Linked DNA regions of Pelodiscus sinensis. The protein of the gene in region 2 interacts with the protein of the main gene of each other region in a biochemical or structural test. Links are inferred from orthologs where the notes say so. Each region holds a gene or a part of one and is shown on either strand. Other genes may lie near its edges. The genes, in order: KPNA4, KPNB1 and KPNA3.

Region 1 (7,892 bases), on a different chromosome or scaffold from region 2:
GACACCACTTCCCATAGCTCCCATTGGCTGGGAACGGTGATTCACGGCCAGTGGGAGCTGAAATTGCCTCTACCTGTGGAGGTACAGGTAAATACAGCGGCTAAACCTGGCAAACTGGATCAGGCCTGCAGGCTGACATTTGCCCACTGCTGTGCTAGAATGAATCTATCTTTCAGTCCTGACTGCAGGATGAAGTAAATGAAAGTGACCACTAATAGGTGGGATCAACCCGACCAGAAGCTGTAAAGTTTTGGCCACATTAATAATGTTTCATGGCAGGAAGTCAAGGGCATGTAGCTCTGACCTTGCTGCAACTTCTTGACAAAGCTTTCTCCCTTCCCATCCCAGTTCATCTCATTTCTACCCTTCAGCACCAGCTCGCTGTAGGTCACTACTGTCTGGTACTGCAGTCAAGGTCATCCTATCCATAGGATGATTTGAGGCAGCCGCTCCTGGCCCTGTGCTTTGGGAGACCCTGTGACAGCTGCCCTGACTGTTTTATGGACATATTGAAGGGAGCCTGTGGTGCCATCAGCCTGGGGGATTACCAGAAGAGTATTGCATGCTCCAGCAGGTCACAGAGGACCTCGACGACGCTGATGGCATATACATCCGTTTTCGTCTCGACGGGAGCGTGTTCAACCTGAGGCGTTTGCAGGCCCACACAAAGACCATGGAGAAACTGATCAGGGAGCTGCTGTTTGCTGATGATGCCGCCCTCCTTGCTCACACAGAGGCAGCTATGCAGCGAATTACGTCTTGTTTCGCAAAAACTGCTCAGATCTTCGGTCTTGAAGTCAGCCTGAAGAAGACTGAAGTTCTTCATCAGCCCGCACCCCACGAGGAGCACCATCCACCAAGCATCTTCATTGAACAAACAGAACTGAAAGTTGTCCACCAGTTCAACTACTTGGGGTGCGTGATCTTGTCTGACGCCAAGATGGACAAAGAAGTCGATAACAGGCTGGCCAAGGCAAACAGTGCATTCGGCAGACTATACAAACGTGTCTGGAACAACAGTAACCTCAAAAGAGACATGAAGGTCAGCGTCTACAAAGCTGTTGTGCTGACCACTCTCTTGTATGGCGCTGAGTCCTGGGTCACGTACCGTAGTCACCTGAGTCTCCTCGAGCGTTTCCATCAGCGCTGCCTCCGCACAATCCTCAATATTCATTGGAGTGACTTCGTCGCCAACACTGAAGTCCTCGAGTTAGCGGAGGTCACCAGCATCGAGGCCATGGTCCTCAAGATACAGCTTCGCTGGGCAGGGCACATCACCAGGATGGAGAACCATCGCCTACCCAAGATCGTGCTGTATGGGGAACTGTCCTCTGGCTACCGCGACATAGGGGCACCACGAAAGCGGTACAAAGACTCCCTGAAGAAGTCCCTCACTGCTTGCTGTATCGATCACCATCAGTGGGCAACACAAGCAGCTGATTGCAACTCCTGGCGGCACACAGTCCACCTCCTTCTTCGAAGATACCCGCAGGGCCTGTATGGAGGACAAAAGGAGAAGGAAGAAGAACCGTGACCCCTCAGCACCTATCTCGGATCAGACCTATATTTGCAACCGTTGTGGCAGGACCTGCCTGTCCCGCATAGGCCTCGTCAGCCACCAGCGTGCCTGCAGAAGATGTGGATTTCCTAGATCTTCGTTCGCGAAGTCAAGCCACGATTGCATGGTGCAACAGCAGCCACCAGGCCTCCCACACTTACCATGGCGGCAGAAGCCTGGGAAGCAGAGTGAAGCAGACGGGAGCTTGTACTACTGTCATCTCCCAGCTGGGTTGTTCTTCTTAACTGCAGTGGTAGAAAACAAAGTGCTCCAGCCCCAGCTTGCTCTATTCCCCTAAGTGATGCAGAGTTCTGGGAAGCAAAGTAGATCGGGATGCTCCACTTCTCAGGCTCCTGCTGCCATGGTGAGTATGAGGGAGTGTCACGTTATTGGATTTTAGGGTGAGGAGGCAGATCATTGTTGCACCCACTAGTGTGTTTGCTCCAAATTCTGTACGAAGTGGGCCGTGTAAGGTGTCAAATGAAAGCTTATGTTATGCTGACCAGTATGTTATTCATATGCTGGTATGATTATTGTATGTATGTTATGGATACAGGCTCTGTATTTGTATTTAAATGTTCTCCATCTGAGAGGCAGCAATGGACTTCCATGACATATTGTGAGGAGTGGTTATCCAATGAATGGCTGTGCTAATTAGCAATGCTGCATAGACAGAGGCTCTCAAGGTTGCCAATACACGTGAGGAATGCATTTGGAAACTTGCAAATGAGCAAGTCTATCATGGCTACTTGCATGAAAGACAAAGAAAGGTCACTTGATCATGTGACAAATGCCAGTTTGGGAGGCACTAGGAATACAAAAGTACCATGAGGGCATCTCCATCTTGTCTTCAATCTTGCTCCTGATTCCAGAAGCATCCTTGCTAGGGACAGAGAACCAGGAAGGATTTGTTGACCCATCCTGACACAGGATGTACACCAGAGTCTTTTAAGTTAGCAGTTTGTAACATCTCTGCTAAGAGCCTGCATCAAGAACTTGGTGATTGATGTATGTAATGTATTCTCTTTAACAATCTCACTCTCAACCCTTTTCTTTCATTAATAAACCTTTACGGTGCGTTTAGACTGGCAAAAACTTCCCAGCTATCTATACTGGCAGCTTGAATTTGCGCAACAGCACTGACGTTCCAATGTAAGAATTCAGTGCTTCTTGCACAAATTTTTTGACGCCCCCACTCAGGGATAAGCCCTCTTGTACAAGAATACTTGCGCAAGAGGGCCAGTGTAGACAGGCACCTTAATTTTTTGCGCAAGAAAGCTCAATGGCTAAAATGGCCATCGGAGCTTTCTTGCGCAAAAGCGAGTCTATATTGGGCACGGATGCTTTTGCGCAAAAGCACTTTTTGCACTAAAGCATCCGTGCCAATCTAGATGCTCTTTTGCGGAAATACTTTTAACAGAAAAACTTTTCCGTTAAAAGTATTTCCGCAGAATCATGCCAGTCTAGACACAGCCTTAGATTTTAGATTCTAAAGGATTGGCATTGTGTGCTCTTTTGGGTAAGATCTGAGATATAAATTGACCTGGGACTGTGACTGGTCCTTTGAGACTGGGAGAACCTGTTTGGAGTTGGTGAGATTGGGTTTTATAACCTCTCACCTATGTATGTGGATCTGACTGTTGCAGAGGGAACGCTGGGGTGTCTAAGAGGTTTTGCCTTGTGAGGTTTCTTGCTGGCCAAACAGGGCACTGAAGTGCTCTTTGTGACTGGTCTGGTGCCTTTATAGGGAAGGACCTCACTCTTGGGCTGTAAATTGCTCTGGTTCTAAAAGAATCGCTCTAATCCAATACTCTCTCAGCAGTGACTAGACTGAATCGTTATATTACAGAGGAGGGAGCGACCCGTTGCCACTCCGTGCTACACTCCCTCATAATCCCTTGGGTCACATAGCTCTGGGAAGGGGACTTCGGGAAAGAGGTATAAACAGGACTGGAGGAGGCAAAGCAGGGGTGGAACTTGCGGTGAATCCTGGTGAAGCACAAGGAAATCCAGCCCTGAGGATGCCATCCTACCTTGGCCCCGCCCCAGCTCCCTCCTCTCTACTGTGTAGTTGCGTATTGCCTGGCTGGTATACACACTCACCCAGTGATGATAATAAAACGTAATTAGAAAATACCAGACATTTATATGTCCAGTATTTTCTCAATTTGTTTCCCAGACAGAAAGGTCAAAACTGGACATCTGGCAACCCTAGTTGTTTTTTTTTAAGTTTTTTTTCCCCACTTACAGACTAACATAGCTACCTCTGAGACTTCTTAGCCCTAGTCACCCAACTGGGCTCAAGGTATCTACTGACTCCAAGGAACTCCTATTCCAGTCTCACATGAATCCCACCGTGACTGAAGGAGGTGGACTGGGGGGTGCACAGTTGATGGGGAGGTAGATGCAGACACAAGAAGCGATTCAGCGTTAGGAAAAAGAAGCAGCAGTGAAAGCTGAGCGCCCCTACCCTGGTGCTGGTTTCTGCACGAGTGCAGGGCGAGAAACGCAGAGAAACCTCTTGTTAACAGCTACAGAGAATACTAAGCCAGCAGCTGCTAGCCCCTGCAGCCTCCTTCCCCCAGCAGCGGTCTCGTGCCCCGAGAAGCCTCCACAGCCCCCAGCGTCTGCGCAGCAGCCGAGGGGGAGGGAGGAAGGCGGTGACGCACGTTGTTGTCGACTTTCAGTTGTGTCAACAACGGCAGCAGCCGCTGCCGGAAAGGGCGGGCAGGGCGCCCCTCGGCTCTAACAGCGTGGGGCGCAAAATGGCTGCCCGGCGCAGGGGTCAGGGGGGCACCCCGCTGGCTGCCGTGAAGGAAACTCCATCTCCCTGCCTGCCCTCGGCGCCTCGTCCTACCCTGTCCCCTGCTCGCCACCGCCCCGCTCTCCTCCCACAGCGCGGCCCTCCCTCCACGCTCGTCTCTCCCATTCGCCGCCGGCCCGCCCCTCCCCAGCCAATCGGAGGGCGCGGCAGAGAGGGGTGGGCGTAGCCTCGGCCAGCTCCTGCTAGATCGAGGCTACCTCCTCCTTTCCCCCGCCCTCGGCTCTGTCCCTTTGCTGGTTACCGGCACATTCCGGCGCCCAGGCAGCCGGAGCTCGCGAGCGGCCGGAAGGAAGGAAGGCAGGAAGTGCGGAGGCGGCAGTGGCGGCCTAGTGGCGCAGGCCGCAGCGCGGACGGGAAGAGAGTGCGAGTGAGCGAGGCGGCGGCGGCGCCGGGCAGGGGATCCCGGCAGGCCCGGGAGGAGGCCGCGCTCCTTCTCTCCCGCCATGGCCGACAACGAGAAACTGGATAATCAACGGCTGAAGAACTTCAAGAACAAAGGCCGCGACCTGGAGGTAGCTCCCACAGCACCCCGCGGGAAGGGCCGGGCATGGCGGCGGGACTGGGCCGCCGAGCTCTGGCGTCTCTCCTAATCCCCCTTCCGGCACAACCGCCTTCCTGCTGCTGCATCAGCCGAGGGCCTGCTCCGAGGCTGAGGCCTGCTCCGCCGCTGTGGAGGGGAGGGAGTGTCTTCCCCTTTCTCCTCACGAGGGCAGGGGCGCTACTTGGGTGGGGTGGGCGGACGGACGAGCTGAGTGAGCCCTGCGTTTCCCCTGCCGGGAAGAGGCTGCCTTTCCTTCCCACCCTCGGACAGCTTTGGGGCTGAGGGCGGCTGCCCGCCCGGAGTGGGGAGTGTCTGCACTGACAGCGGAGTTAACGCCTTTCGGCATTTCCCTTCTGTGGCTATCTCCCTTGGTTTTGCTGTACACCAGGGAGAGGAGCGGGGAGGACGCTGACGGGTGTGTGGCTATGAGGCACGGGGGTCTTTGTCGTCATTTTCTCTGTAAGAAACTGGTGGCTATTGACATGAACGGAGTTCTGCTGACTGTTAGCCCTTCCTAGTACGGGTTATGTTTTTTTCTTCAGAGTATCTGCAGGCCAGTACATAGTTGAAATGCAAAATATAAACTGATGGAATTAACATAAGTGCAGCTACAGCACTATAGAAACAGTCAAGTGCAGTCTAATATATTTTTGTACAACCTCACTTTGGTTTGGCACTGTTGCAATAGGGGGTCAAGTACCATCAGTCATCCACTTCCCAGATAGTAATGAAAACCGTTTTGGTTTATAGCTTGGCTAACACATTCAGGTTATGGCTTTTCCCAGTTATGGCAGTGAAGGCCAAAGAAGACCCTTATTGGAAAATGTCCTGCAGTTGGTCCTCCTTTGATGCAGCAGTTCCCACAGCTTAACAATTTCATATGGGACAGAGACAGTTAGTCAAGTAAGCAAGTCCTATGCAATTCATGTTTTTTTCATAAAGCAGTCTCTAAAGTCAGCACCTTGAACTCCACACAAACTTCTGGGAGCCAGGTAAGATCCCAGAACACTGGCATAATGTATTAGCTGCATAAAAAACCACTTAAGTGGGTCTTTGTGTTCTGCTCTAACTTCAGTTTCTGAATGGGTTTAAGATGTGGTAGAGCATAGTGTAATCTAATGTTGAGATGACACAAAGGCATGAAGAACTTGGCTTTTGAAAGTAAAGGATGGAGTTGCTCTCTTTCACTGATTGGCATGGGGAAGGAATCTTTTCTACCTGTGCATGAAGGAATAATCCAGGATCCAACATCTAGGTTTTGAACTCGGTTGAGTATATCGGTATAACTTTACCTGAAATGTTTGGGATTGACAGATAATGAAAGAGAGAGTAAAGCATGCAGGAAATAAAAGATTAGTTTAATATTAAAGGACTTAGTTAAATGGGGTTCTGCTGTCTTTGTGTAAAAGTACCTTCCCCGTTGAGCTGTTTGCTGGCTGCTCTCCAAATACTAAAAACAAAAGCACAGGGTGTATTATAATTCCAGAAGTGGTGCTGTGAAGGTTTTTATTTAAAACAAACCTCATACTTCATTCTCTTCTGTATATTATTTTATATGGAAAAGTATAATGCAAAGTTCTCTTAAATCACTGCTGTGTTGGATGCCTAAACTTTGCATTTTAATGTAGGTTCTCTAAACTCATACTATACATTAGGGATGTGAATGACTAGTCAACTGTCCGATAAGCAAGTGGGAGAGAGGAAGAAAAGGGGATGGTTCAAAGTGGCAGTGCTGCATAGGGCCCAGGCCAGACCTTGGGCTCTACGCGGAGCTGCTGCTTTGAAACGCCGTGCAGCCCAGGGCTAGCTGGGGACTCCCCTGCTGACCCCAGGCTCCATGCGGCGCTGCCACTTTGAAATACTGCAGGGAGCTTGGGGTCAATGGGGGACTGCTTGAGTCCCCTGCTGGCCCCATGTTCCCCGCAGTGCTTTCACTTTTAAAGTGTAGCAACAATCCTGGTGCTGTTACTACACTTCAGAAGTGGAGATGCCCTTATTGATTACTGGAATAGTCAATGCAAATTGCACCGACTACTGGATTAGCCCATTAATCTAAATTTAACATCCCTGCTATACATATGTTAATCCTGAATCCTTCCCACAAAAATAAGACTTTTATAATTTGGATGATAGCCTGTTTAGTTTTAGTTATTGATGAAATTTTAAAGACACACACTGATTTGAAGATCACCCTCTTAAGAGAGGACTTTTTTCCTATATTTGTTTCAAGTAACCTGTAAGATAACTATTATTGAAACCATTTGAAAATATTTCTCCTGCCTTCTTTGTTTTTAGGCATTTTATAGGCATTATTTTTCTTGTTTGAGAGAAACATTTTAAAATAAAACCAAAAAATTTGGCTGAGGTCTTACTGACATATGTAATACTGTAGAGTTTATTACCTTTAAACATTATTGTATTTCTGGTAGGCTATGTGCCATCCATGTGTTTTTTGGTTTGCTGTTAAGGTAGCATTTTGCAAAATGAAAACATTGTTAAGCTGTTAAGTCTTGTTAAATTTTAGAGACTGACATCTCTCTAACAGATCTTGGAACATATGCTCAGTACTTAAAATAACTACTGTGGATGATCATTTTTCAAATAGTAGCTCAGGCTTGTGTGACTATCATTCTGATTCATTGTTTATACATCACATTTTTTCATTACAGCATGAAATATTGGTAATGGCTGTATTTAGTCAAGCTTTAGCAACAGTTGATTTTTTTTATCTTGCATTTTTGCAGAAAAAAACCTCTTCCCTTCACATAAATCAGTATTTGATTATTCTAGTAGTCTCTACTAAAATCAGTTGTGTATCAATTAGTTTATTACAAAATTTCAGTCTGTCTTCTGTCCTGTAATAGCACACCAAAGAAAGACCTCAAAGTTTTGTTGCTGATTGTACAGCTACTTTTTGCATTTGTTTCGGTGAATGCCAGATTCATAGGTAGGTTTAGACACTACTAAAG
Region 2 (7,155 bases):
CACCCAATCTCCCTAGCACTGACAAAGCTGTTTGATACAAGTACAAAACCTGGGAGGAGACCAAGCTGCATTGTTGTTTACCACTTCTAGTGCAGTACCACCACAGAGCCCCAGTCCTGGACCAGACGGACCCAGTGTGTTAGGTGCTGTACACACACAGACCCAAAAAGCCCTGCTGCACTCATGGTCTAAGTCATCTTAATTTCTGCCTTGTCTTCATTGCAATTTTTCAGATAACTCACCCAGAAATCCTGCCAAGGCTTTTTGTAAGATGGGCTTTTCCATGAGGTTTTTCTGATTCTTTAGGGTTGTGACAGGAACTGGAGGCCCACAGCCCTGAGCTTCCCAGGAACCACAGAGAAAGAAGCAGTAACTGCTTCCAGCTCTGTGATTTCAGCTCCAGTTGGAGCTGGCCTTCTTCCCAGATTCATCTTTCCAAGCTCTTCTCTGTCACTGCCTGGACTTTCCCTCAGATTAACTGGGTGAACCCTGAGGCCCTGTTGCCTCCCTCAGTGTAGAAAGGACATGGGACGTCACACTGCTCCGGAGGGATGCTGCTGCTCGGGTGGATGTGGGCATGAGAGATTTACAAATGTATATTAAAGCTAGTGTTTGAAATCAAAATTCCTACTACACAGGCTTAGAGGAAAGGCTCTTGGGGTCAAGCCTGGATCCTCAAGAATTACAAGTCTCACTTAGAAAGTTACAAGATGCATTGACCCAGATTTAAGAGGGTAAGTTTTTAAGTAGTAGAGCATAAGTGTTTGGGTACCTCACCCAAGGGAAGTTTTACAGAGTTAGTTGTGAAAAGCAGCGGGATGGGGATTGTTCCTCAGTCTGTCGGTGATGTTGAGAAGACCAGGACTTTACAGGGTTAAAAAAAGAACCAGATAAATTCATGGAGGTTAGGTCCGCCAATGGCTATTAGCTAGGATGGTTAGGAATGGTATCGCTAGCCTCTGTCAGAGGCTGAAAATGGATGACAGGGGAGGGATCACTAGAGGACTCCCTGTTCTATTCACTCCCTCTGGGGCACCTGGCATCGGCCACTGTCAGAAGACAGAGCACTGCGCTAGATGGATCTTTGGTCTGACCCAGGGTGGCTGTTCTTCTGTGGGATGGGCTTTCTGTAAGAAGATACAGCTTGCCGAGGAAGAATTTTTTTGGGGCTATTTCCTTAACTGCGTCCCTCGTCGCTGGTACTGCTCACCCATCTTGCTACACCATGTCCTGTGCTATGGTCTGCATACATATCGCCCCGTCTATGTGATCTCAGGTCATGTCCTCATTCTGTTAGTCACCCTCTTCTCCCAAATATGGGGACTAGGAGAATGTGGGGGGTTTAATACATGTTTATAGAACACACTGAAAACGCAAAGCTCTGTAAAACTTAACTCTACCCAGTTTTACTGGAAAGAGGGATGTTGCACAGGCCCAGATGCCATTATTCCTTGCACTTTCAAAAAGCAACATGGGAGCTTGCATTTCCACAAGAGCATCACTATCAGCCCCAAGGAACAAGGGTTTAACATCAAGCAGGGCCAGCCTCAGGGAGAATGGGGTCCTGGGCAAACTTGTTTTGGGGGCCCCTGACCCTTGTGGGCATAATTCCCCCATTTCCCCTGGTACCCATGGGCTCCCCTGACCTCCCCCCATCTTGTGCTCTCTTTACCACTAACCCTACATTGTGCCCCCTTCATTCCAACTCCTGCACTTTCCGCCCACCTGTGCCCCTAACTCTGACCCTACACTTCCAGCATGTCCTGCCACCCTGCTCAGCACCCTTCACTCTCTTTGCCCAACAAAACCCCATGCTCCGTTGCCCCTCAGCCTCTGGCTATGGCACCCTGGGCATGGGCCCAATTTACCCAGTCCTCAGGTTAGCCCATCCTAGATGGACAACTCCTATAATCCCCCCACTAGCCCAGTGTTCTTCACCTATATGAAGCCATTATATATAGCCACAGACAATGGGGGAAAAGAGTGACTGCATTCACACCATTCTCTTGCCTCTTCCATTGTATATACGCAATGTTTATAATGCCCTCTGAAGGGGGGAGGGCTGGAAAGGACCCCCCTCCCCCCAAAAAAAGCTTTCATCTCAGCACTTCCCTGCACTGTGGTTTTTGTCCCCAGGGAATATTTTATTACAAATATAACTACAAACCCTTTTAATCCATTTCCCATAGTCTCTGCAGTATTTTCAACCTCAGCAGGTTCTTGCCCTCTCCTCAAAACTACCCCTTCCCTACAAGCCTCCAGGTCCCACATCCCCCTGTAAGTGATAATTATCAATTCTAATAAAATAAATATCACCTTGTTCTGCTCATCAGTCAATCCCAAGGCAATTCTAGAGTCAGTCAGTAGCATTACCCCCATTTTACATACAGAAAAACGGAGACCTGGCCAATAGAACAGAGCCAGGAAGAGGTAGCTCCTACTGGCTTGAGTCCCAGCTAGGCTGTGGGGGCTCTAACAATCCATTTCATTCAGCAACTAGTCTCCAAGAGCAGACTGCACCAACCAGATGTTTCGGAGGAACATGAGAAATGAAGGCTCTGATGGACAAGCTGTGGAACCTACCCATGACAGTGTCTCCTTCGTACCAAGCAGTGATGAAATAAACCAGCCTTCCCAGACCTAGCTTCTATAACCCAGCCACTTGAGCTGCAGCTCCTATTGAAAAGCAGATAATCCACAGCTGTTAGCCTGATCATTACATCTGGGCTAGAAATTCTCTTGCATTAGAGCAAAAACCAACTACTAGCTGCCTGACCTTATGATGGCACTGCTGCAGTGGGCAGAGGATTCCAGAATTGTCCATTATGAGTTTCTTACATCTTCCTCTGCGTGCTGTTGCTTCAGTCATTCCCCTCCAGTATAGCACCAGTGCCTAGGGCCCACTCTCTTCAAGTCCTTCCCTATAGCCCCAGGCCCTACATAACTTCTATTATGGCTCCAGTCTGACAGAGCCCCAGAAGCTCCTTGCCCCTATGGCCAAACCCCCAGAAGTCCTCTAGAACCCAGCAGCTCCTGATGGCCCCCTGCTAATCCCCCAGGAGCCCCTCTGGCCTACTAGGCCCCACCCCCTCAGGCCCCCCCAGCAGCTTCTGCCCCTCAGGGCAGGGTCCACCCTCTTCTGCCCCCTCCTCCCCAGCGACTCCTGGCCGCATCCCCCCTCCAGCCCTGCTGGGTCCCACCTCCCTCCTCCTCCCCTAGCAGCTCCTGGTCCCTCTGGGCCCCCCCCCCAACGGCCCCTTCTTGCCCCCCCACAATGGCTGCTGAGGACCCAGTGGGCCAGCGGCCCTTGGGGGTGGGGCCAAGGAAGGTAAGGCCCAGTGGGGCCCCCAGCAGCCCCGGACCCTCCTCAGCCCCCCTCCCCCAACGGCCCCTGGCCCCACTGGGCCCCTCCTCAGCCCCCCTCCCCCAACGGCCCCTGGCCCCACTGGGCCCCTCCTCAGCCCCCCCCCCCAACGGCCCCTGGCCCTACTGGTCCCTCCTCAGCCCCCCTCCCCCAACGGCCCCTGGCCCTACTGGGCCCCTCCCCCTCAGGACCTTCTGCTTGCGGCCCCTCCATCCGCTTCCCTGGGCCGCCCTCGCCCAGCCCGGCCAATGGGCGGCCCGCTCCGCCGGCTCAGCCAATGGCCGCGCGCGCGCCCCGGCCCCCAATGAGCGCCGAGCGTGAGGGCCGCCGCCAGCCAATGAGAGCGTGCGGCGCCCGCGGCGCGAGCCCGGCTCTGGCCCTCTCCCTCCGCCCGCGCGGCTGGCTCGGGCCCGCCCCTTCCTTTTTCTCTTTTCCCTCCTTCCCCCCCTCCCTTCCCGCTCCGCCTCGTCGGTGTGTGTGTGTGTGCGCGCGCACACGCGCGCGCGCTCTCCCGTCCCCCCCCCCTTTTGCCGCGCGGCCCTTTCTCCCTCCGCCGCCGGCGCCCGCCACAGCCCGGAGCCGCCGCCCGCCCCGGGGGCCCCCCCGCGCCGCAGGAGCCGCCCCGCGCCGCCGCCATGGAGCTCATCACCATCCTGGAGAAGACGGTCTCGCCGGGTGAGGGCCGGCACGTGGGGGGGGAGGCTGAGGGGAGGCCGGGCCGGGGGGGGAGGGGCGGAGCGGGGGGGGGGGGCCCCACGGCGGGGACTGACTCCGGCTCCCGCTTCCCCGCAGACCGCTCGGAGCTGGAGGCGGCGCAGAAGTTCCTGGAGCAGGCGGCGATCGAGAACCTGGTGAGCGGCCCGCGGGCCGGGCGGGCGGCAGCGGGGTCCCCCCCCCCTCGATATCCCATCCACCCCTCCCCCCTCGCGGGCAGGGAGCGCCCCGCCCTGCCCCGCGCAGGCCGAACCGCCATCGAGGGCGCAGCCCAACTTGCCAGCGCCCAGCCGGGGCGGCGGCCGGCCAATGGCGGCGCGCCCGCGAGCCGCGCGGGCCAATGGGAGCGCGGAGCCGGGGGTAGGGGGAGGGTAGGCTGCGCCGCGCTGCGTGTGCTGCGCTGGGGCCTGCGGGCCATGTGGGGAGCGCGGGCCGGGGGGGGGGCTGGGACACCCCCTAGCGCCCTCCAGCGCCATAGGGCCCCGCTCCCCCCCTTGCGGAGCCTGCTCCTTCACCCCCCCCCTTGCATCACGTGCCTCCCATGCTGGGCCTTCCCTGCCTGCCCCCCTAGGCCTTCCCCCTTCCCCTTCCCCACTGGGCCAGGCCCATCTGGTTCCCTCGGGCCGGGCCTTCGATTCTTGCATCCTGTTCCCCTTTCATTGCTGGGCCCTTGGTTCTTGCACCCTGTTCAGATCCCGCTCCCCTTTCCCCCTGAAGCAACCCTCTGCTCTCTTCTGAAGGGGGCGCTTCTCCCCTCCTTCCCACCCCCGTCTCTGACCCAGAGGTAAGAAGCCAGAAGGTGAAGGGGTCACCCGGGTTGGGACCCCTGTCTACTGTCCTGGGTGGAGTTAGAACAGATTTAGAATAGGTTTCAGGCAGGGGTGGGGAACCTCATGTCTTGGGGCCAGATTCAGTCCCAAGCTTTCCTGGATCTGGCCACTGAGGCTTAGGGCTCCCTCTCCCCCTAGTATCGGGGAGTCTGCAATGGTGCTCCAGCCCCTGTGGGGCTGGAACACACACACTCTACTAGCCTGGGCTTTCCAAGGCTCTGCTATGTGTGGAGAATGTTGAGAGTGACTTTCTTCTCATTGGGGGGGGCACATCAATGAGGGGTGTGGATTTTCGTTAGGTTTTTTTTTCTTCTCACTTGTGTGCGGCCCTTGACCAAAAAAAGGTTCCCCACCCCTGGGAGAAAGGAAAGGGTGGGGGCTACTTTGTTCCAGGGGAAAAGGGTACTCAATCTACAAATGGCACACTCCCATTAGCATGTTGTGTGTAGCATGTCTTAGCATCCTACACACCTATTAAACTCAAGGGAGGATTGTGCAGAAAAGTTAAAAATACTTTCTACCGTTAGCATATGTTTGCCTAATTAAGGTACAACGTTACAACTATTACACTAAAAAAAGGTGTAAGGGCCTGATTCCTAGCCTTGTTACTCTACTCATCCTTGAGGCAATCTCTGGTTCTTTTGGGTGATTAAATATGGGAGAATTATTGCATTCCTGTTTGCTACTGTAAAGATTGTCACTGACTTGACTGAGTATACATCTACACTGCAACACTATTTCGAAATAAACTAGTGCTATTCCAAAATGACTTGGTCCGCATCTACACAGCAGGCAGTTATTTTGAAATAATATCAAAATACTGTCAAGCTAGAGGACTTTTTACTCTGAATCCTGTAACCCTCATTGTACTAGGAGTAAGGGAAGTCAGAGGAAGGGTGCTCTGTTTTGAAATAAGTACTGTGTAGATGCTCCTAATTTCAAAATAAGATATGCAATTGATGTAAGTCAGTTTGCGTCGCTTATTTCGAGTTAAGCCTGGCAGTGTAGATGCACCCTGATGAATGGGAGGTAAAAGTTGAATATTTTTCAGCCACCCTTCTACATTTCCTCTTCACCAGCATTAATGCAAGCTGTGCAGCTTTTTGATACATAATTTAATGTTAAAGGTTTGTGAAACCTTCTGGCAATCAGAGTCGTTAACAATTGGGCTTATAGTTTCATGTTCATTCCAGTTCTGTGGCTAGCTGTTTAATGAATCATAGCCCACCACTGAAACATTGGGATATGTTGAGGAATCCTTTGGTTTAGCTGATTAAACTGTCTGAGGCTGGTTGGTTTTGCTGAATCTTGTTGCAATGCTTCTGTGTGTGTGGAAGCCATGAGAACATGTACACTAAGTTTGGGTTTGGGTCTGCAGTTTAGAAGAATTAAATTCTAAATTAGAATTGTGAGTTCAGGCCTAGAATGAATAAAGCTGCTGTTGCTAGTTTAAACAAACAAAAATACCCTGATCATTTAAGGGAGGCAGGCAGGTGAGAGAATAAAGAACTGATGGCTTTTGGCTATTCGCATTTATAGTGTATTTTCCTAGCGTAATCTTCATCAGATATATAGCATTTTGGGAGTTGAGCCCACTGTTTCCCTTCAAGGGATGTGTCCTTGCAACACTATCACTTTCTATTCCAAAACCATCTTTCCTGAAAGCTTTCCCCACCTTTAATTTAATCCAGCCTTATAAAATTTTGTCTTGAGCGTGAATGCATTTTTGATCAATAAATAAAATCAGCTTTTTCATTATCCTAAAAGGTAGAGAAGTAGATTTTTGTGCCTAGGGCCTTGCATTTGTCAGGATATTTTTGCAAGGCTGATTTAGCTTTGAATGGGGGGTTTAAACTGTATATTTGTTTACTAACTCTGCACTTTGGGTGTTAAAACAGGTAATTTGATAGCTTTATTAACTTTTTTGGTGAGATTTTGGACCATAGAGAACACAAGTTCTTTTGCCTGCACTGTCTGCTTAAAATTATTGCTAGCAACTTTAAGTAGTCTTTCTTAGGCTCTGGTTTCTAATAGAAAATTTTTTATTGACTGAGTGCAGTTGCATCAACTTAAAAAATTGGTTAAATCCTATTCTAAATCAGGCAAAATAATTTCAGGAAGACTTGTTTCCACCATGTCTGAATCAACTTTTATATGAGTTAATACTGAAACCAGAGTAACTGCACTGAAAAACATACTTTCTTAATGGTGACAACACTTTGGTCAGCCTTGGCACAGGAGCATCTC
Region 3 (7,788 bases), on a different chromosome or scaffold from region 2:
AAAGCACTTTTGGCTGACAGACCTGCTACAGATGTCCATTCAGCCGTGCTCCCAGACTGTCTGGACCTGATCTAATAGTACCATAGTCATATACTCTTGGCACCTGATAGCCTGGATGTTAGTGTCTAGAAGATCCTGATACAGGGCAGGAAGACCATCACCAGATAACTTATTAATCAAAATGGAAGAGCAGCTGATTTGGGCATGTCAAAAGCATCCTAAATACTATGTGCAAGTTTCAAAACCATAGTTCCTTGACTATTTGTTGCATTTGTAATGTTCCGATCTGTTCAGGTCTATTGATTCATCTCACTGTTGTGAACATGGTTTGCTATTTGCCTGTACAGTTGTCTGCTGACTGTTATCCAGTGATATCAGATTTCCTTAAGGCAGTGTTTCTTAAACTTTTTAATACCGAGGAACCCCAAACAATTTTTTTTGAGGAACACCAAGGCTTTTTTTGTTGCGCCAAAAAAAAGTCTGGGGGAGTTATTGAGCAAAAAAAAAAAGGTTGCCTGCCCCTTTAAGAGTGGCCATTCTGAATTCTGTTGTTCTCTGTGGCACACCTTTGACTGCCTCAAGAAACACTGCCTTAAGGCCCTGTTAAATGCTTCCTCACCAGAGAACCTGCTGCTGCCTCTGGGACATCAGCATATCAATAAAATGATTAACATCACTAGTCCTGTCTTTCTAGGCTAGAAAATAGATCTCTCTGCTTTTATTAAATTTAGATAAAGGCAGTCCCCGGGTTACGTACAAGATAGGGACTGTAGGTTTGTTCTTAAGTTGAATCTGTATGCAAGTCAGAACTGGCGTCCAGATTCAGCGGCTGCTGAAACTGACCGCAAGTTCTGACTTACATACAGAATCAACTTAAGAACCCCAGGCGTCCCCAAGTCAGCTGCTGCTGAAACTGATCAGCAGCTGATTCCAGGAAGCCCGGGGCAGAGCAACTCTGCCTCGGGCTTCCTGTAGTCAGCGCTGGTCAGTTTCAGCAGAAGCTGACTTGGGTACGCCTGGAGCAGAGCACCCCATCTGCTCTGCCCCAGGCGTCCTGATTCAGCCGCTGCTGAAACTGACCAGCAGCGGCTGAATCAGGACCTGGGGCAGAGCAGCTGGGGTGCTGCCGGGTTGGTCCAGTAGTGCCCAGAGCGGCGCTGCAGGACCAATCGGCAGCGCCCCAGCTGCTCTGCCCCAGGGTCCAAAACAAAAGCCTGGTCTACTGGGGGGGGGCACACTAGCTGCGCTCCTCCCCCCCCCCCCAGCAGACCAGGGACACGGGGAGCAGAGCCGCAGCGGCAGCGGGGTGCCGCACCTCTGAGGCTTTGCTCTGGCAAAGCCTCAGAGGTGCGGGACCCGTCGCAGCTGCCGCTTCAGTCCCGGTGCCTGTGGTCTGCTGGGGACGGTCCCCAGCAGACCACAGGCACCGGGACTGAAGCGACAGCAGCGGCAGTTCCCCGCACTTCTGAGGCTTTGCTCTGGCAAAGCCTCAGAAGCGCGGGAACCCGCCCGGTGCCCCTGGTCTGCTGGAGACGGTCTCCAGCAGACCAGGGGCACCGGAGCAGCTTACGAACGGGGCTTTCTCGCCCCGGAGCTCGCAGGTAGCAATCCGCCACCTCGACCTCCGGGGCGAGAAAGCCCCGTTCGTAAGTGCGGAGCCGACATAAGTCGGATCCGCGTAAGTCGGGGACTGCCTATATTTCATTTTCATTACATTATTTAGCTTTGTCTAGTCTGATCTTTCTAGCTATGGGGGTTGGCAACAGTTGGAGAAAACCAGGTCCAATTTTCTAAATATATAGTTTTCTTTAAATATTTGAACAATGCAATCCACCTTCCCAAATTAATAAAACCAATTATTGTAAACCCTGGCTGTAGACTTTTACCCCAGTTCTGAATTGGGTCCTGGAACATGGCGAGGGCTAGAACTATGGCTTTAAACCACATTTGTGTCTTCCATTAAGGCCCAGAATTTGGATACCAGCCCAGAGTAGCCAAAACGCACTGCAGCACTGTTCCCTTCTCTCCCATGGGGCACAGCTACACTGGGGGCTATGTGGGAATGTGACATAAGGTTCTGGGTAAGCCCTGAACATCATAAGAGTCCATGGTGAGGAAACTAGCCACTGAAGTGGCACGAAGGAGACAAATCCAAGTCTAATAAGCTGCAGCTTGAATTTTTGTACAACAAAGTCAATTTCTACTGAAGGATGAAATTTGCAACGAAGTAGACTCTGTTACCGGGTTTCCCCTTTCAGTAAACAGTACATACAAATGTGTTAATATTCTTTTCCAAATTCTCCGTGTTTAGTTTATATATTTTCTTGAAGCAAAGAAATTAACATCTAAAGAAATTCCTTTACATTTTCCTGCATATACGTCATGAAATACAATCTTCTTAAGTGCCGTGGAAATAATCTCAGTGCTGGTTTTGATAACTGAGGACTACATTTCATCCCATCATGTGTGGTTTGCTTAAGGCCCACTGGTTCAGCAAAGTGTTGTGGCTAAATTGGGGCTTTAAACTCGAGGCACATGATGGGGATGAAAAGTAGGCATATGTTGCATTTAGTGCTATTTTCTTGACCATAGTGCTATATGAAAACCTAGTCACTGGTAACAGTTCATTAAAGATTAGACAGTTGGTGCTTCTTATAATTTATCATCCTCTGTGCATCTTCTGACAAGGACAGTTATGGCAGAAATTGGCCAGAAAATGTGGCATATTGAGAGTAGTCTATTTCTCTGCCTTGAGGTTAAACCTATTGCAGCTTCACTGCTTGTTTCTTGTAGTATGAATGCACTTGTGGACCTTGCTTGGTTGCTGAGGTGGTGGTATGGTTCAGTGTTCAAAAATAGGAATCCTTGTCTGTTCTGCATTTTAATAAAATACAAATAAAATTCCAAAAAGGTATTCCTTCATCCATCTTGTCTCTCAATATTCTGGGACCAATATGGCTACCATAGTGCATTCTACATTTGTCGTAATAGCCTTGTCTACACTGCTGTTGTCTGTTCTCTTAGGGTACGTCTAGACTACTGCGCTATTTCTGCGTCTTTTAAACCAGCCCATTATTTTGAAATGAAATAATGGACCTGCTATTATGACATCTTTGTAGCCCTCATTCCACGAGCATTAAGGGACAGTTAAGGAACATTTTGGAATAGCAGTTTATTATTTCGAAATAAGCTATTTCAAAATTAGATCGAAATAAGATATGCAATTTATGTAGTTCACATTGCATATCTTATTTTGTAAGATTTTGTACAGGTGCAGTGTTGATGCACACTTATAGGCTTCCGAAGTTGTTCCTATAGGTCAGTGGTCCCCAACACGGTGCCCGCGGGCGCCATGGTGCCTGCGGGGGCATTTGTGTGCCCCCGCCAAGTGCTCGGGGCTGGCCTGGCCCCAGGCACATCGCGCATGCATGGTGCTGGAGCCGGTCCTGGGCGCACGGTGAGCGCCGGCCCTGGGAGCGCCGCAGATTGGCCGCCCGCGCTCTGGGCGTGCGGCGCTTGGAGGGGGCACCGGCCCTGGGCGCGCGGCACTTGCGGGGGAGCTCCGGCCCCGGGCGCATGGCACTTTGGGGTGGTGGGTGTTGGGCGTGCGGCGCTTGGCGGGGGTGTCAGCCCCGGGCATGCGGTGCTTGGGGGGGGGGTGTCAGCCCTGGGCGCGCAGTTCTGGGGACCCCGCCCCCGGGCACGCGGCCCTTGGAGGGGACCCCGGGCACGCGGTGCATGGGGGGGGCCTCCGCCCCCGGGCACGCAAGTGTCTCCACCCTCTGGCGCCCGGCGGGTGAACGGCCATGCCCCCTGGCACCTGGCAACCTCCCAATGGTTGGGGACCACTGCTGTAGGTGAAGCTGAATCAGTGTTGACAATAGTAGGGACTTCTGCAAACTTTCTCTACTATAGATAGGACCAGTAAAGGCTTTCCCCATGAGTTTTAATGTGTTACATTTATATTTTTATGGTCAAAAATAGAGGGGGCTAAAATTAAGTTAATGTGTTTATAATATAACAGGATGTCACCTAAACTCTAGTCTAGTAACAGGAAATATGAGAGCGCTACAATTCACATAAAAATTTAAGCTTTGAGAGGCCTTGCTACTGATCATTGTCAGTGGAATTGTAATCTCTGAAACGGAAAACAATTAGGGTATGTCTACACAGCAGGGCTAACCTTGAACTAAGCTATGCAATTTGAGCTACGCTAATTGCATACCTTAAGTCAAAAAAGCTAATTTTGAATTTGGGAATGTCTACACAGCACTTACTTCAAAATAGAGCACTCTTCCTCGACTTCCTATACTCGTACTATGAGGGTTGCAGGAGTCGGAGTAAGAAGTCCTCCAACTCAACATTATTTCTACATTAAGTCAAAATAACTGCTTGTGTGTAGACATGGATGATGTTATTTTGGAATAATGTCCGGTATTCTGAAATAATGCTGCTGTGTAGACATAGATCAGTTTAGGCCAGTAAGGCTATCCTTGCTTGGTGCTTTTGATGTTTGCTAAAGTTAATATCTGTCCTCTGACCTGGTTTCCTCAGTGTGTTTATTTTTCTTTTACTGGAACTTAGGGCAGTTGCAGGTTTTATGTAGGAGTTAGCTTATGGCTTCAAACCAAAAGATCAAAAATTGCAAACCAGATTCCCCCAAATCATGGTTTATTTTCAAAAGATTACATTGTGGGTCCTCTTTAAAAATTCCCCTTGTTTCAGTGTGAATGTTGCATCCTTCCCAAATTTCTAAAATAAGGTCATTCTGGTTTCCTGAAGGAATTTTTTTGTTTGCTGATGGTGCAGCGCTTCCAGCTGCTTCCCAAACTCAAAATTAATTCTATGATTTGCCCCATTGCTGGGTCTGTCTTGTCCTTCCTGCTAGGGGTTCTTCATCTCCTTCTCCCACACAGGCTACAGCCCTAATTGGATTGCTTTATCCCGGGAATGGGGAAAAACAGCCATTCAGAAGGATTTTTTCCCCATGGATAGGCTGCTTGTGTCTTCATGAGATTGGCTCCAGTAGGAGCCAAATACACATTATTAATTGTGAATAGTAAGAGTTGGCAAAAAGGCTCATGTGCAGGTCTCTGCTACTGAGGATGCAAAAGGGAGCTGGCCCAGTGATCTCAAGGTAGCACATCAGAGTTCAACAGTAAGCTGAAACAAACTCAAAATGCTGTGGTTACAACCAGCCATTCTAGTGCCTGTCTGAATCTGTAACAAAGGACTATGACACAGATTCTAGAATTGCCCAACTCCATAGAGCAGGGGCCATCTGCAGCCCGAGTAGTTCCACAATCCAGCCTGCACACGGCTGCTAGCATGAGTTGCTGTGGCTCTGGGGGCTGCCCATACCCTTCCCCCAACTACAGCTCCTGCCCCTGCTCTGCCCTCTCCCCCCAGTACAACCCTTCTCTCAAGCCCCCTCTTCTGAGTGACATAGCTTTAGGGATTACTGGGGGCCCTAGTATGGGGCGACATCAGCAATCTGTGTATCTCAGTTTCCCTGCAGCTTCCACTGCCACAGTGAGTATGGAAGGGTGACTTCAGCTGCAGCCTGCCCAGGGCACTCCAGGCTTAGTATGGGGAACCATCCCATCCATTGGATGGTTAGAGCAGCCACTCCAGGGCCCCCCAAAGCACAAGGGCAGCTGCACCAAACCGTCCTACAGATGGGATGGCTCAGCAAATACCTCTCTGGGCCACAGGGACGGGCCACTCTAGCCTCGCTGCACTGCCTGTGAAAGCACCAGGGTGTGTGTGTGTGTGAGAAATCTCATGGGGGGGATGCTGGTGGGGCTGGGAGACATGAGTGTGGGAAACACATGGAGCCCCTCTTTCCCTGAAGCTCTGCTAGAGAGGGGTGCCCGCTGGCCCACTAGCAAGATTTGAGGACTGACACTTGGCCCTAAGGTAAATTGAGTTTTAGACCACTGCCCAAGATCTTATTTTTATGCAAGCTTTTCTGGGTAGGGAGAAAGGGCACCTGAGAAGGCTACAACATTCCCTTACCTAAATGATCTTCTCTTGCCACTGAGCATGGCTACATCTAGACTCCAGTGCTTTTCTGGGATACCAGATATCCAAGGAGCGCGTCCACTTTTTCGGAAAAAAATTTAAAAAAGCAGACACGCTTTTTTGCCATCCCTGTAAACCTTGTTTTATGAGGAAGAAGGGAGGTATCGAAAGAACATTTTTCCCCCAAAGTTTGGAGCCATGTAGACATGCAAAATTTCGAGAGAGCCTCTTTTGACAGTAAAGCAGAAAAAGATACGCAAATTGTTTCTTTTTCCGACTAACCAATGCAGTGTAGATCTAGCTCATGGGAAACTGAGCCTTCCCAAATCAGGTCTTTCATGTTGCTCATGATTCACACAAGCCACATTTACACACCTCAAGAATTGCCAAGACTGACACCCAGTTGGAGTAGGATTAGAATCTGCTTAGAATTATATAAGCAAATACTTTGTCAAAGGCTAACTCAGCCAAAGAGTAGCGCCATAAGCAGCTGTTGCTTGAGTAGTGCTGAAACGTTTGATGCCAACATTCACGTGGACTTACTCCTTTAGTTTGTACTTAAAATGGCTTTTGTGCATAATACCCATTTTTATTATTTTTCACAAGTAAACCTCACAAAAAAATTAAAACACTCAGGGCCTGTCTGCACTGCAAGAGCCGTCATGCCTTTGATTGCTTCTCATTATAGGCCCAGTTACTGTGGCAAACCATTTTGCTAGCTGGATGGTTCTTACAATGAAGCTAGACCGGGGTAACAAGACAGCCTCTGTGGGCTGGATCTGGCCTGCCAAGCCAGTTGATCTGGTCTGTGGTCGCCCTACCACTCCCCCACCCTCAGGCCAATAGAGACCTGGGGATCGGGGAGCGCACAAAGTCCCCTCCCCCTGCTTAGGGGCATGAATCACCAGAGGGAATCGCCAGCTGTTCAGAATGGCTGGTAGTTCTCTCTAGGTGCTGCGCTCCCCTTGCAGCGTGGGGGCATGGGGCAAAGACTTCATGTTCTCTTCCCCCCATTCCCTGATTGGCCTGGGGGTGGGGGAGCATGTGAAGTCTCTTCTTGCCTCCAGGGGCATGCAGCACCTAGAATGAACCACTAACTGTTCAAAACAGCTGCCAGTTCTCTCTAGGCACCTAGGGGAGGAATGGGGGGCAAAGACTTCACATGCTTCTTCTCCCCCCCCCCCCCCCCACCCTCTCCAGGCCAATCAAGGTCTGTGGGTGAGTGAGCACGGGATGGCCCAGGGCCACTTCAGAAATTGGTGAAATGGCCCCTCTTTAAAAATTATTACCCACCCCTGAACTGGATGTACTCTGACTGCTAAATTTGGGTGTTTTAACCCTGAATTATAGTCTTGGATAGAAATTAAACCATGCTAGTCTGTTTGTGAAAACTGTCCTGGCTTGTGTTTGGCATGTATACAAGTTATTCTTTCTAAAGCACAACAAACCTGGTTCTTGAAGTAGAATATGGATCTTCTAGCAGTAGTGTCATATAACTGCAGAGAAAAATAAACTTATGCCTTTTACTTAACCTCTGTGATGCATAAAGATGGTGTGGTTTGTTTTTTTCCTCCAGTTATTGGACTTGTTTCATTCCTTGGTTGGAAAAGCCTTAATATACAGGCAGTCCCCGGGTTACGTACAAGATAGGGACTGTAGGTTCGTTCTTAAGTTGAATTTGTATGTAAGTCGGAACTGGCGTCCAGATTCAGCTGCTGCTGAAACTGACCAGCGGCTGACTACAGGAAGCCCGAGGCAGAGTTG

What was found.
Region 1: the proteins of KPNB1 (region 2) and KPNA4 form a complex in vitro, tested with the Homo sapiens proteins (2 studies listed by BioGRID and IntAct, with this or other methods). The link is inferred for Pelodiscus sinensis from reciprocal best matches to the Homo sapiens genes KPNB1 and KPNA4.
Region 3: the proteins of KPNB1 (region 2) and KPNA3 form a complex in vitro, tested with the Homo sapiens proteins (2 studies listed by BioGRID and IntAct, with this or other methods). The link is inferred for Pelodiscus sinensis from reciprocal best matches to the Homo sapiens genes KPNB1 and KPNA3.

Annotation. Positions count from the first base shown.
Region 1 is NC_134720.1:33,022,756-33,030,647, reverse strand, and holds the start of KPNA4 (importin subunit alpha-3), read left to right. Parts: upstream 1-4,638; 5' UTR 4,639-4,825; coding exon 4,826-4,894; intron 4,895-7,892. UniProt on the Homo sapiens protein: Functions in nuclear protein import as an adapter protein for nuclear receptor KPNB1. Binds specifically and directly to substrates containing either a simple or bipartite NLS motif.
Region 2 is NC_134739.1:13,273,734-13,280,888, forward strand, and holds the start of KPNB1 (importin subunit beta-1), read left to right. Parts: upstream 1-3,837; 5' UTR 3,838-3,999; coding exon 4,000-4,039; intron 4,040-4,156; coding exon 4,157-4,215; intron 4,216-7,155.
Region 3 is NC_134711.1:290,014,917-290,022,704, reverse strand, and holds the start of KPNA3 (importin subunit alpha-4), read left to right. Parts: upstream 1-4,498; 5' UTR 4,499-5,235; coding exon 5,236-5,532; intron 5,533-7,788. UniProt on the Homo sapiens protein: Functions in nuclear protein import as an adapter protein for nuclear receptor KPNB1. Binds specifically and directly to substrates containing either a simple or bipartite NLS motif.